Linked DNA regions of Drosophila melanogaster. The protein of the gene in region 1 interacts with the protein of each later gene in a pairwise test. Each region holds a gene or a part of one and is shown on either strand. Other genes may lie near its edges.

Evidence for each region. Proteins that work in one complex are often made in the same cells at the same time.
Region 2: the proteins of CG15185 (region 1) and CG12115 interact in a two-hybrid assay, tested with the Drosophila melanogaster proteins (one large-scale study listed by BioGRID).

The regions. Positions count from the first base shown.
Region 1 is NT_033777.3:6,523,859-6,530,795, reverse strand, and holds CG15185 (uncharacterized protein), read right to left. Parts: upstream 3,289-6,937; 5' UTR 3,268-3,288; coding exon 2,239-3,267; 3' UTR 2,122-2,238; downstream 1-2,121.
Region 2 is NC_004354.4:9,187,337-9,194,136, forward strand, and holds CG12115 (uncharacterized protein), read right to left. Parts: upstream 3,270-6,800; 5' UTR 3,246-3,269; coding exon 3,204-3,245; intron 2,793-3,203; coding exon 2,043-2,792; 3' UTR 1,990-2,042; downstream 1-1,989. Other genes in the region: CG12057 (uncharacterized protein), read left to right, coding at 4,349-5,008; CG12056 (uncharacterized protein), read left to right, coding at 5,356-6,219; CG12106 (uncharacterized protein), read left to right, coding at 6,700-6,800.

The sequences.
Region 1 (6,937 bases):
AACTTCTTACGCCAATAAATTTGAAAAATTGAATAGGCCGTCCCAGGGATCGGAGAAGTTCTGAATGATTTCCAAGGAGTATATTCAGCATTATCTTTGGCAAACATAGCACCCACATATTCGGAGTCCGATGTGGTATGTGCCACATCGCAAACATTTGCATAGCCAATTTATGGAACTCTATTTTATGTGCTCTTATCTCACGAACAAGCTCGAAACATGCGGGAAAACCCAAAATTCATAAAGTAAATATTGCGTAAGAACAAAAAATTATAGCAAATACACTCATTGATCGGAATGGACGAAAGCAAAAACAATTTAATTGATAACGAAAGTAAATTTATTGAATTCAGCGGACTGAATCGCGAACTGTATATAACTCTATTGCGAAATCGTTCAGCAAAATGTAAATTAATTGAATATACAAATAATATAAATGGCAGAATCCAACCAGAGACGTATTCCAAACACTAATGAATTGCATTTAAACGATACAAATAAATACATAAAATAAATAAATAAACAAATAGCGGCAGGAGACAAAGGCGCAAGGCGGCCAAAGAAATAAATAAAACGAATCAAACGGACAAAATGTAAACATCGTGTGCATCGCCAACCCGCAGGCTCGGCTCGTATTTATTTATCCACTTAACGTCCTTTTTAATTACACGCACTCCCCCGATCCACGGCAAATCCCATAAAAATCGTCTGAAATTAATTAAAGTTGTCTCTGCTCGTGAATTTGTGTGTACGTAGAAATTGAGGCTGCAGCGTCAACTTAATTGCAATTAGGTGCAGGCCCACTCCCACTCAATCAATGCCCTCAAAGCGGCATTAATTATGTGTGCGATTGTCCCAAGGCGTCGGCTGTCACACCCTGCGTATACTGGATGCGCCCGTCTTTGAGCGCTTAACAAATTGATCCCGGGCCAAGTTAACCGCAAGCAGCTGTGAGCCAACGCAAACACGCTTCGCAGACAGACGGGCGAGAAAAAGCCACGGAAATAAATTTCTGTGGTCAATATTACAGCAGGGGCGGGCTTTTCTTTTTACGGGTGTGGACAATTAACACATTCCGGCTTGCATGCATCAAATGTTCGCGGTCTGCGGCTAACCACCTTTCAGCCACCCACCCCACAGCAGCGCCCAACCCTGACACTTATGTTCAGCCTTTTAATTTCCCGCCAAAAAGCCACCAACAGCCGGTTGGACACCCCATTTAAGTGAATGTTGAACAATGACAGTTTGTTAGACCTAAGCGGCGTACATATATGACCATAGGCAAGTACGATACAAATCGAAATCAAAATACATTTCTAAGCTCTTAAGTGTTTTTCATCAACTCGATTAACGTGTAGACGCCATTCGTGTAATTATCAACACCCGACTAATTGTAAATAAATCGCATTAAACGCAAAAGTCCCAAATTCGCAGAGGTGTGGACGTTACCTTTTAAAGACAGACACTCGAACACACGTGTACTCATGATATAGCAAAGTTTAATGTTAAGTACCGACTAATAACGAAAATACTTACATACACATATACATATGTAAACGAAACTAAGAACTATGTGAACTTTAACTGACAAATTTATTGCATTACATACAATAAAATAATACAATTGAATAACTTAAAGAAGTCTTTTCATTGGAGTTTAAGAAAAAAAAAGTCCAACACTTATGGTAAGTACAAATTTAAAAAAAAATTATTCATTTATTTATTTATTTAATCATAAGCAAGATTTATTATACATCTGGTACATACAGCAATGTGCAAAATAGTTAAAATTTTTATATGCAAACCACATTTTAAAGCATTCATTTAGTTATCTGAAAATCTAAGCTTAAAATGCCTTTTTTTTTAAGCCACAGAATTATTTATCATTACTAGTTTTTTTCCCATACATCTTAAAAATAAAACATTTCAAAATTCACTGACGGGACAGTTTTTGATTTTCTCTTCTTATCTTTAAAACCTTATATGATTAATAAAAAATAATCACATAGTGTTCATTATAGGAACCCATTTCTGATAACAACATGTTAAAACAAAGCCTGTATATTTTAATTTTAAAAAATTGACAGACACCTTAAAAGTTACAAGGACAACCGTTATTTTATCACTTATATTCAGTTTTCTGGTTATTCTTGTGTTACCTTCCCAAATGCTCAAACTAGCCACACATGATGATATGATGAAAATATGAAATTGATTCGATGCGATGCCGGGGAACTATTAGTTTGGAATTTGGTTCACCACGGAAAGAACGGGGCAGGTCTTTTTGATAATGATACGACGGAGGTGGTCGTTGATGGCAAATCCGCGAATGACGTTATTGAGCATTATGCCTAACACCTCGCCTGTGCTGTCATCGGTCATGGTCTGAGGAACGAAGTGGTTCACGGCATATGCCATTACAACGGCCGACTTCCTGTCCATGACAATGGCGGCCACCAGGCGACCGATGCTCTGCGGTCTGCTCTGGGGAGTTTCCCCATCGGTCATGAATTCCTTGGCCAAGGCGAGACCCTTGGCAACAAAAGCAATCGTGTCGTCGTGCACATAAGCGGGGGCCTCTAAATAGGCGGCCGCCGAATGCAGCAGGATGCAGGACACCTCCTCCATTTCGGCCCAGAAGACGTTTCGTGAGGTTTTGAAGTGACGAGGACAATGGTCGGCATGCAAGCTGGGGATCGATGGCGGCGAGTATGCCTGGAAGACGAAGTCATGGCTGTGATAACAGATTACGCCTGTCACATCGGTCACTTCTCCAGGTGAATGGCTAATAGTATCAGACGCGATCGTCTTGTAGGTTACATTGTTTGCATTCAAGTTATCTCCCTGCTCTGCAAAGAATCCCGAATCTGGAAACGTGAAATTTGGACCGTGAATGTAGACCATAAGTTTTTCTGGTTGAAAGAGCTCGGTATTCTGGATTAGGGCCGAAACGTCTACATCGTAAGTGACATTTTTTTTCCTCGAATCGTGGTCTACGACCTCGTTTAAATTCTCTTCTGGAGTCATTTCATTCTCGCTATCCGAGATTTCGTAAATTATAGGAGTGTCCATTACTTCCTCTAAAGCTCCGTAGTCTTTGACGTCGGCTAGAATCTCTTCTGGGGTCACGTCCTCTTCGCTTTGCCAGACGTCATCATAGATTGGGGCAGGATCCTCCCCGAAATTAATTTCATTGTCGTAAATAAGTAACAATTCATCTTCAGCATGCGCAATAAAGACTTGGTCACAAACAATGTGGGTATCCATTGTATAAGCTATTTATAGTATTAATTATCTTATTGTCAAAAAAAAACTTTCTTCCGAAACGTGCTATAGCCAGGGATGGAGATACCCACTTATCGATAAAACTATTTTTCTGGGTGAATGGCGATATTGGGGATTAGTTATATAATTTAATTTGTAAAGTTAGAAAAAACAAATATTGCGTTTTTCATACACTGTTAAATATGTGATTCCTTGGAAATTTAACAGCGATTGTTATCATTTTTACAAGCCTGCTACACGAAGTTATAAACACGGCCATATTGTTTACGAAAGAACTAGTTTCTTAAGAGTTTTCTCCACATCTCAATTTTATAAGATGACAACACTGCTTAATCGATTTTAAAAGCAGAGGTGATGAATAGCAAATTGACCAAATATGAGATTTAACAATCATCAATTTAACGCAATAGTGCAACAATCATCTGAGTGGTAGAAATATTTTAAGCTTGGTGTTTGAAAAACGAATAATGAAATGTTAAAACATTAGTGTCGGAATGTGAATGGAACCAGTTTTGGGTGTATTTACAACGGAAATATAAAATTAAGCCATCCGAGCCAACGGGGTGGACAATGGAGTCAACAGTCGGGTCAAGGTCGACTCGTTGTCTAATTCCAGGCGAGGCAACAAGGACAAACGTGACTGAAAGGATTGAGGGTTTGATCCGGCCATTTTCCATTAGGACAGCCGACGTCCTGCAATTGTTGTCGACCGCATTGTGTCTGGCAAATAAATTAAAACGGGGAACATCGAGAGATTTACAATAATAGTAGCCCAGAACATTAATAAAACGGATAAAGTTCGTAATCTGTTGGCATGCATGTATGTATATTAGGAAACGTAATAGAAACAAAATATATGTAGTTCGTTCTTCTGGAACTATAGCATTCATTTTCATTTATTGATTATTTTCCAGTGAAATTTAATTTACTGTAAGTTACTTGAACGTTACTTGAGAGATTCAGAGATCCTTGAACATATTTTAATTACATATGCGGGACTCGAACTTGTCCTAAAAATCCTAATGGAGTTATGTGGCGTTTCTTCGCGCCATTCTCGTACTTGGAGGGGTTTAAGTTATACGAGTGTAACAAACATCCTGCGGTCAAGTCGCCATAGGAATGTCAAAAGAAGAACTCTATACTTTGCAGACTGCCGATTCTTGTGCGAGGCGGAGAGTAGTGGTTGTGTAGAGTTCACAAAAAAAATTAACAAGTGAAGGGGGATATGATTAAAAAAAGTTTGTAAAGCCCAATCATTGCATCAAATTTTTATTAACGAAACTATTTGCTTTAAGATTATTTTTTGCCATTTAACACAGTCTTGGCTTATATTAGTTTACCATTTTGAGAGAGTTCTTCGTATCTAAATCTGATAATTTGAATAAGCTTCTCCAAACTTGCTTTGACCTGCGGCCCTAAAAGAATCCTCATAACGAATGCCTGGCAAGGATTTGTCTCAACTTTCGAACGCAGCTTTCGAATGCAAATTTAATGCAGCAGCCAACGCTGCGAAGCCGCATAATTCTCGAAAGGGGGACTAATGAGGGCTTATTCAACGGGGGGCGTGGCAGGCAAAGGAAGTGCCTGCAGGCTGACCAGGCTCATCTGTAGCTTTTGCTTTTGCTTGGCTCGTAACAGGGTCAAACTGTAAGTAGGAAATGCAAAGGGCATTCACATTTTGATTTCATTATTGCCATTTTCTGGGCTGCATATTCAGACTGACTTCCGAGTGCAACGTCACCGCCTTAAGGATGGGTTTCACCTGCTTTTCCTCTAATAAGTGAGAGTCTGAATGCGACGAAGTGGGGTGGTGTGTGCGTGTGTGGGTGTACCCATTGTATATGCTCTTCTCACAAGGTGAGCCATTGAAAGGAGCCAGGATCAAGGAGCACAGGATGGTGGCTAATGCCAAAGAGCCTCTGCTTCGAGCAGCCGTACACACACACACACACACACACACACACACTTGTGCACTACAAAGATTCCTTTCAATTTGGGGGCGGAAAAGTTTTCGGGGCTTTCGGAATCAAAGCCAAGCCGAGCGGTTTGAATAGGATTTGTGATTGCAAAGGACCATGTCTAAACGCGATTTTATTACCGAAAAGGATGCATTCGCATCGGGATGTATTCCTTCGGCACCGCAGCGCTGTTGGTCATTTGCCAAAGTTTTGCAAGGTACTTTCGGTGCCCTTCAGGTGTTCTTGGGCTTAACATAGATTTTTTCAACGGATTTTTAAGAGGAATATAATTTTAGGCATTTATCTTATCATGTTTTTCCAGATTTAATCAATTACAACAAAAAAAACACATTTGAATTACAGTATACTCCATATTTTAATAGAAACATTTTTACCAAGTGGAATAATATTTAAATTTCATTTCTGACAAACAATTGGTGAAGCTTTTTGCACGATAAATATAAGCGGAATATATCAGAATATTAATAAATTTATATAAGTATTAGGAATAAAGATAAACATGCTTTCATATTGGCTTTGATTTATATCAAACAAATAAAAACAATAAAATTAGCCCGTTTGTGTTAAAACGCTTCTAAGACGACTAAACCGTTTTAAAACGAATTCCCACCATAAATCATTGGCCCAAACTTTACCCGAAACATTACCAACTGCTGCAAACATATTTCCCGAAATTATGCAGAAAGAAAAGGTCGTTTCCGGTGGCCGAAAAGGCAGAGAAAGTGGAAAAGTGGAAAAACGGAAGCATGCAGGACATGAGTAAACAAGGGCCGGCCAAGGCCGCTGGCCCAAAATTTATAAATTTCCGTTGAAAATGAAGTTTCAGAAGTTCTGCATCAATGGATTAATTTTACAGCAAAAGAACCCCAGAACCAAACCAAGTTGAACCCAAAACGGTAGCCGAAAATGGTGACACCGGACATGAAATAATTTCAATTTTTGGTCATTTCCCCAGCCGAAAAAGAAAGGAGCAGTTCCACCGAGAAATGAGTGAATTTAAATGTTTAATAAACTTTCGCCAACTACGCACACAAATGGCTGGGAATCTTCGCCACAGTTTTCCACCATCACCAGCCCCATACGCTTTTCTCTCCCCATTTCCCACCAAGCCGCAAACTGCGAAAATGGCGAAAAGGCGTCGCCGTCATTGCTTTACACTTTTCTTCTAGCACTTTTCATTCATTTAATTTTCCCGGTCACTTTTTTTTTTTTTGTATGTAGCCGCTTTTCCCCTTAGCAGATGGCACTTGGGTATTTAACGTTCGCTAATGCCTCCAGCCGCTGCCGCTGATGCCACCGCCTCCGTTGCGGTGCAAATGGGGCGTGGCATCGTCCTGGCCAGGCCAAAACCAAGGCGACAGTTGGCGGCCGTTTCCTAATTACAAATCACTGGCGGTTCCCACAGCGACGCCGAGGGAAAATGCTGGGGAAAATAAGAAAAAGAAATTACATTCTTTGCAGCAGCAGCAGCAGCAGCAAGTTCCCCTGTTTTGTTGCTGCTTTCTTTTCGGACTTTCTGGGTCAACAATTATGCAAAATACTGTTATTTTAGGAGCAGACCGTCGCATTTATCTGTCCCTTTTCTGGTTGGGACTTGCGGCCTTAAACAAAGCGCTACCTAAAAAAAAGCGGGGGTTTCGGGTTGGAAAATGTGGCGCATCCGTTTTATAATT
Region 2 (6,800 bases), on another chromosome or scaffold:
AATGAATATGGAAAATCGAAGATGAAATGCAGTTTCAAAAATGATGTTTTTGCACTTACGAACGAATACGGAATTACAACGCCCAATGAACAAATTAAAGTAAAAATATAAATATTTGCCCAATTTAGTCAACAGACATACATATAGATAACAAAAAAAAAATTAACTATGTACTTATGTAGTAGCCTGGTTCTACTGTATATTTTTATTAAATGAAGTTGTATTGCAGAATCAGCAAAGCAAATGTATTTTCATGACACGCATTTGAAGCGAACATATCAAAACCGAATACCGCATACGAGAATACGGAAAATACGAAATTATCTATAAATTACCGATACCGATTACCGATTACCGATTACCAATTAACGATTACCAACTACCGATTGGATGTTATCAGTGAGCGTAAAACCGTTGAACGTTTAGCCCCAAAAGCAAAGAATTTCGAAAATAACTATAAATTTTGGAAGCTGACAGATAAACTATGTACCGGCAGGTGTCTTGCAAAATATTCGCGAATGAAAATAACATAAATTATAAAAAATAACAAATAAAAAAGAAAACTCGAGTTCTTAAGCTGTTTCATCATTTATTATTGACAAATATTTACAAGCGCATTTAGGACGCGAAGTATGTGAAGTATAATATGCAATTGAAACCATAATACCGCAAAAAGATCTAACAATTATAACAAATCAAATGCGAGATGAATACGAAAAATACAAAACAAAAAAAAAAAGAAATCACACAAAACTGAATCTAAATTAAGCATGAATATTTTTTGCTGTGTCTTAGTCCATGTGTCGTAACGAATTTATTGAACTAAATATTATACATTATTAAAATTAAAGAAAAAACCAAAAACACAAAAAACCTAAACAAAAAAATATCTTAACATTTTTTGTTTTAAACGAATAGAAGGCAGGCAATGAAAGAAAATCTCTACAAAATTAAGCACAAATTTTTTCAGAAAAAAAAACCAACAAAAAATTGAAAAATACTAAGAAATTGCCTTTTACTTATATTTTTTTTTTCTACTATAACAAATTGAATTATTAATAATATACAACACACGCTGAATTCATTAAAGCATACAAGCGCGCCTAAAAACATCTGTGACTAATGAAAAAAAAAAAAACAAAAAACAAAACATATATAATTGAAAATCACGAGAAATCACTGCAATCGAAAATGAAAATGAAAAACTCCAATAAAATAATCGTAAAATGCGGGAGGTACAAGAAATTGTTGAGCAACATATGGCAAATACATATACTAGCTACAGTTTAACTAATTATTGATAATGGTACATACATTCTACATATGTACAGCCGACACTCACACTCACACACCCACACCCACACCCACACACAGACACATATACATACATATACAGATATACCAGTACATGCAAAACTTAGTTGTATTTGTATGTGGGATCATACTTGAGTAGAGATTAGAAACCAAAAACCGACAATTTATACATTAGTATTTATGCAACAAGCTACTTTTACTTACACGCCAATGTGTGTGGTATATAGTACGATATATATGTAAATATATATTATATATATATACATATATATTTATATATACAAAAAATATATAGGAGACATTTGACGACCGTAAGCCCGAACACAGCAATTTACTTATATAACAAACCAAAACAAACCAAGTTTCTTTAAAAACTAAAAAACCAAGAAACCAAAACAAACCAATCCCGAAAATGCAAAAGTTTTGGTACGAAAAACGAAGAACAATTATGTAATCGCGGCAAAAGTTGATGGCGAAGACCCCATGAAATACAATATATATACACTTATTTAAAATATTTAACAAAAAAAAAAAAAAACAAAAACAAACGATTTATATATATACATACCACTAAATAGTTTAAATGTTTATTTATTGTATTTAAAGAAGATGAACGATAATGAAACCAAATTTAAATAAAACTAATAACTCAAAAAACCAAAACAAATCGATTTTCTTCATATAACTTGGATGCATTTTTTATATTTTTATTTTGTCACTTTTCACATTCACTTAAAATTTGCAGCACAGGCATCGATGGCGGCGTTCAGGTCGTCAAATCCTTGGATGGCATTCTCGGTGGACTTGGTGGTGCAGCTGGTGGCATCGGTAGCCACGGCGGGAACGCTTTTTCGCAATCTGATCAGGTATCGCAACGAGGCCTGTCCATTGGCAACGTACAGGATGCCCTTGGTGGTAAACTTGACCTTGCATGTCTTCTTTCGAATGCTATTAGCCTTGTAACTGTTGCATTCTTTTCTCAATTGATACAGCTGATAGCCATCGAGGGTCAGTTGGAGCACCGCCTTCTTGGTGTCCAGCACCAGATTGATCGACGTGACGGCAGCATCGCGTGCGCAGCCCAGAAAGTCTAGTGTGGTGGATGCCACCAAATCGGCCGAACTGCTGGTCACATTGATGGCACACTCGCCCGCATCCAATGCCCGTCTCTCCACATCCTCCGCCAGCTTCTCCAGCTCCTTAATTGGCCACAGGAAGATCTTTAGCAGCTGGCGCTCCGTCAGCAGAATGATCTCCTTGGCCAGAGCTTTCGATTCGGCGATGAGCAAGCGCAACGTGCGATCCAGAATGGCGAGCTCGTCCACATCCAGGATGCCCTCCTCGGGCAGCTCGTCAACCAGGTCTAGTTTCAGTCCCAAGTCAAAGTCCAGATTCAGTTCGAGACCCAGTTGCTTGGCCAATTCCTGCAGAGAAACATCCTGTTCAACCACTGGCTCCTCCAGTTGCAAGGCTGAGACCTGAAAATCATGTGCATTCAATTTGATTTGTTATATCTTTGTGGTAAACGCTGGTGGATTTCAATGCTAACTATGGCAAATCACATTAATCATACGCACTGTGGACCAACTTTAAAAATCTTCCTTGGCAACTATACATTTTTTCGTAAGTTTATTGTTTGCATTTGAAATATATTCGAAAAGTAGTATCACTGTTTTCTAAAATATGTTTCAAACGCAGAGCAATATTAAAACGATAAGGTTTTTATCAGATATCGCGCATACGCACTGTTGATCTGTTATTTCGATAGGCTTGATAAAATGAATCCTATTCTTTTTTGCCAAATCAAAACTGTTAGTTTTGTTTCATTTTTAGAAAACTTATATTTTTATTGGATTTTACATGGCATATATCTTTAATTTTCTACTCACAGCCGCCAAGGCGAATGACAACACCAAAATAATACTCCTCATTGTTGGTTTTTGAATGGATTTAGACGAGATCTTGCTGCGAAGTCACTTTATATATGGATGGACGACACACTTGGTGCGCATTCAGATTGCCATATCGGTGCCCCCAGTTAATTAAAATATATTCAAGAGTTCTTTTTTATCGGCCAATTGGTATATTTCCCATTATTTGGCTAACTTTAATCGCAATAATTTCCGTCTTACTTTTTTTTTGTCCCCAACGACTCCAGAGAGAGAAAGAAAGAGTGAGAGAGAGAGAGAGAGAGAGAGAGAGAGAGAGAGAGAGAGAGAGAGAGAGAGAGAAAAGTGGGCTGAAAAGAGAGGGAGACTTTCGATAAGATCACAAATTATATTATATTGCGTTGAGCGATAGGAAACATCTATTACTGGATTCGCCACTTCAAAATCGCACTAATCGAAGCATCTAAATAATGCCATAATTATAGAAGATAATGTCATATAATTTATGGGACTGCTTATGCCCTCGATTAAAAGTCATTGCGAAGTCAGGAAAGAAAACAGTGGCAATCCAATCTATGGAATCACTTGAGACATTAGACACACACGCGTTAATGTTGTTTGCCTTTTTTGGGTGTTCCCAGTTCACCGTTTTTTTTTTTTTTTATATTAAATTTTTAATTGTGATATCTGACTGGATTTTCCTTTGATTTCTTTTGCCAGATAAACCAAGTGGTGTAAGATATAATCATATAAAAGGATTACTTTAATATGCTTTTATGCTGTTTAAAAAAAATGTGTAAACAAATAATAAATTAAATTGTATTTACACATTTAGTTCCTACCCTTTTCATTCATTAAGTGGCATTGTACATACAAGCCATTGTTATGATGTTTTTAACATTCTTTGTTTGATCGTTCTAATTTTAATCTAAATCCAAATACGCTAAACTCAATGAATAGCGTCCGAATGTAAAGTTCACTAATCCAACCAAACCGTGAGTGATTTACAATGGCTGCAATAAATTTATGGCCACCAATCCAGATTAGCCAATTACCGTCTGCGAATAATCCATTCCTGGATGACCAGGGTATAAATACGATTTGTACTAAAAAATTCCCCATCAGCAGAAGCTAAAGTATCAAACATGAAGCAATACACCGTTGCCATTATCCTAACCCTTTTCGTTGCCAGTGGATGGGCCCAACCGCTGGACATGCCCAGCCAGCTGGACGCCCAGGTGCGCAGCGTGGTGGATGAGATGACCAGCATTGGCAAGGCGACCGGCGAGGTACTGTTGAGTCAGTACGAAGAGATCGTCCTGGAGCCGCAAAACGAATTGGAGGCAGCCGTCGAGCAGGTGGAGTCGCGTCGCGAGGAGAGTCCCGAATGCGTGGCCGCCGAGGATGAGGAGATCACCCGCATCGTGAATGCCGCCCATGAGGATCTGTACGCCTGCGGCGTTGTGGCCGCCCAGACATCCGCCGAAATTGCCTCCGATGTGAGTGCCGCCACCCAGCAACTGGTCTACGGTGGCTACAGCCTGGCCAGCACCTACAACAAATGCAACTCGTACAAGAACTCCGTGCTGAAGCAGACCTGCTTGGCCAAGTTCTATGTCCAGGCCACCGTCTATTTGGTCAGTGCGCGCTCCTCCATCAAGACCATCCGTCAGTCGACCAGCGAACGCATCCCGGACGTCTTCGCCGATGGCAATGTGTGCACCCACTCCGCATCCTCGCAGGCGGTGCTCGGTCTCCAGGAGGTGAACAACAACATCGACGCCTGCGTCTACCGTCGTCGCTAGGTGAACACAAACTTATTTACCTGGATTCTGCAAATAAAAATTATGCATGTTCTATGCCAAATGTTATTTAGTTATTTTTTTTTTTTTTGCAGTGTTGCTTGTTGCAGTGTGATTTGTGTGCTAACATTTTAGAAAGAATTTATTTTAAAGTTCAATTTTTGTGTACGAAAGTATAAATAAATAACGGAGTTAATCGAAAAACTTACATTATTATACATAGAATGAAAATACAAAATTTTAAATTCAAACCGGTTTTCCGGTCTGTTATCTGGCATGGTCACCTTAACCGTACGCTAGTTTCAATTTCAAGTGGAACCAGTTTCGGTTCCGCACTGTTAAACGGCAAGATGTTCGGATTGCTGCGACACCTGTTCAAATTTCAATTTCTTTTCGTTGTGGCAGCCGTTCTGGGCGGAATTTATCACACAGAGATTAGGCAGTTCCTGCGTCGCCAAACGGACAACTACCTGGACCAAGCTGGGCAGGATGCGAGCATTCCCCTGGCGTTCCAAGCTGGTGACGATATCGGCACGCTCTTTACACCGGCCGAGTTGGCCAAATTCAATGGCGAGGAAGAGGGTCGTCCGCTTTACCTGGCTCTACTCGGTTCCGTCTTCGATGTGAGCCGCGGCATTAAGCATTACGGATCCGGCTGCAGCTACAACTTCTTCGTGGGTCGCGACGCCTCCGTATCCTTCATTTCCGGTGATTTTGAGACGTACGATCCGGAAACGGCCGACGATGTGTTAACCCTAAAGCCGGACGACCTGATTGGTTTGGCCGGATGGCGGGATTTCTATCAAAAGGACTACGTCTACAAGGGACGGGTAATTGGGCGCTTCTACGATGAGAAGGGCGCCCTGACCACCTATCATCATAAGTTTCTGGAGCTGCTGGAGCAGGCACGAGATGCCAAGCGACAGGTGGAGGAGCTGCGTGCCCGGTATCCCGGCTGCAATATCGAGTGGAGCGAGGAGCGCGGCACTCGCGTCTGGTGCACCACGACCAGTGGCGATGGCAAGGAGCGCTCCTGGATCGGTTATCCGCGCAAGCTGTACAGTCGCGGCAACAAGAGTTTCCAGTGCGCCTGTGTGCCGGATGCGGAGCTGGACGAGATCGATGCCGGCGGCAAGGTGGCTCACGGTGATGCCATGCTGAAACCCTACGACAATTGCGAGCCACAGGCCAGGGAGTGCTTCTACAGGGTGTAGCAGCAGGGCCGGGATTTGTAAATAGTAATTAGTGCATTTGGATCAATAAATTATTAGGTGGAGTTAACATGGCTGGCGGAACTAGTTCCGGTTCTCTTCTGTTAAATTTTTAGTTGCGCTACATCGACAACAACAATTGGGAAATGTTGACATTCAAGCTAAATACTTGAGCACACTTATTTCTATCTGTAAAACCAAACCATTTATTTGCTATCAACAGCTCAACTTTATTTAAATCGTTGGATATTATTTGTTGTATCTGTAAATCAATACCCTTTAATAGACATACCAATGAACGGGACTTGGTTCTCTTTTCAACTTTAGCGAGGCCGCACTGCCTTAACAGTAACATTTCACACTTAAAAGCTGCTGTTAAGACCGTTAGCTGTGCTGTTAGGCGCATATCTTGTTTACAAGCGGTTTAATTTTATAAATATAGCTTTGTTTTAATAAATATCCAAGAAATTTAAACTATTACACATGGACACATTGCCGGGAAGTTCCTCCGCCCTGAGCACAGACGACGAGCAAACTGCCCTGATTTCCCCCACTGTGGTGGCCGGCTTAAAGAACCTGGGTGC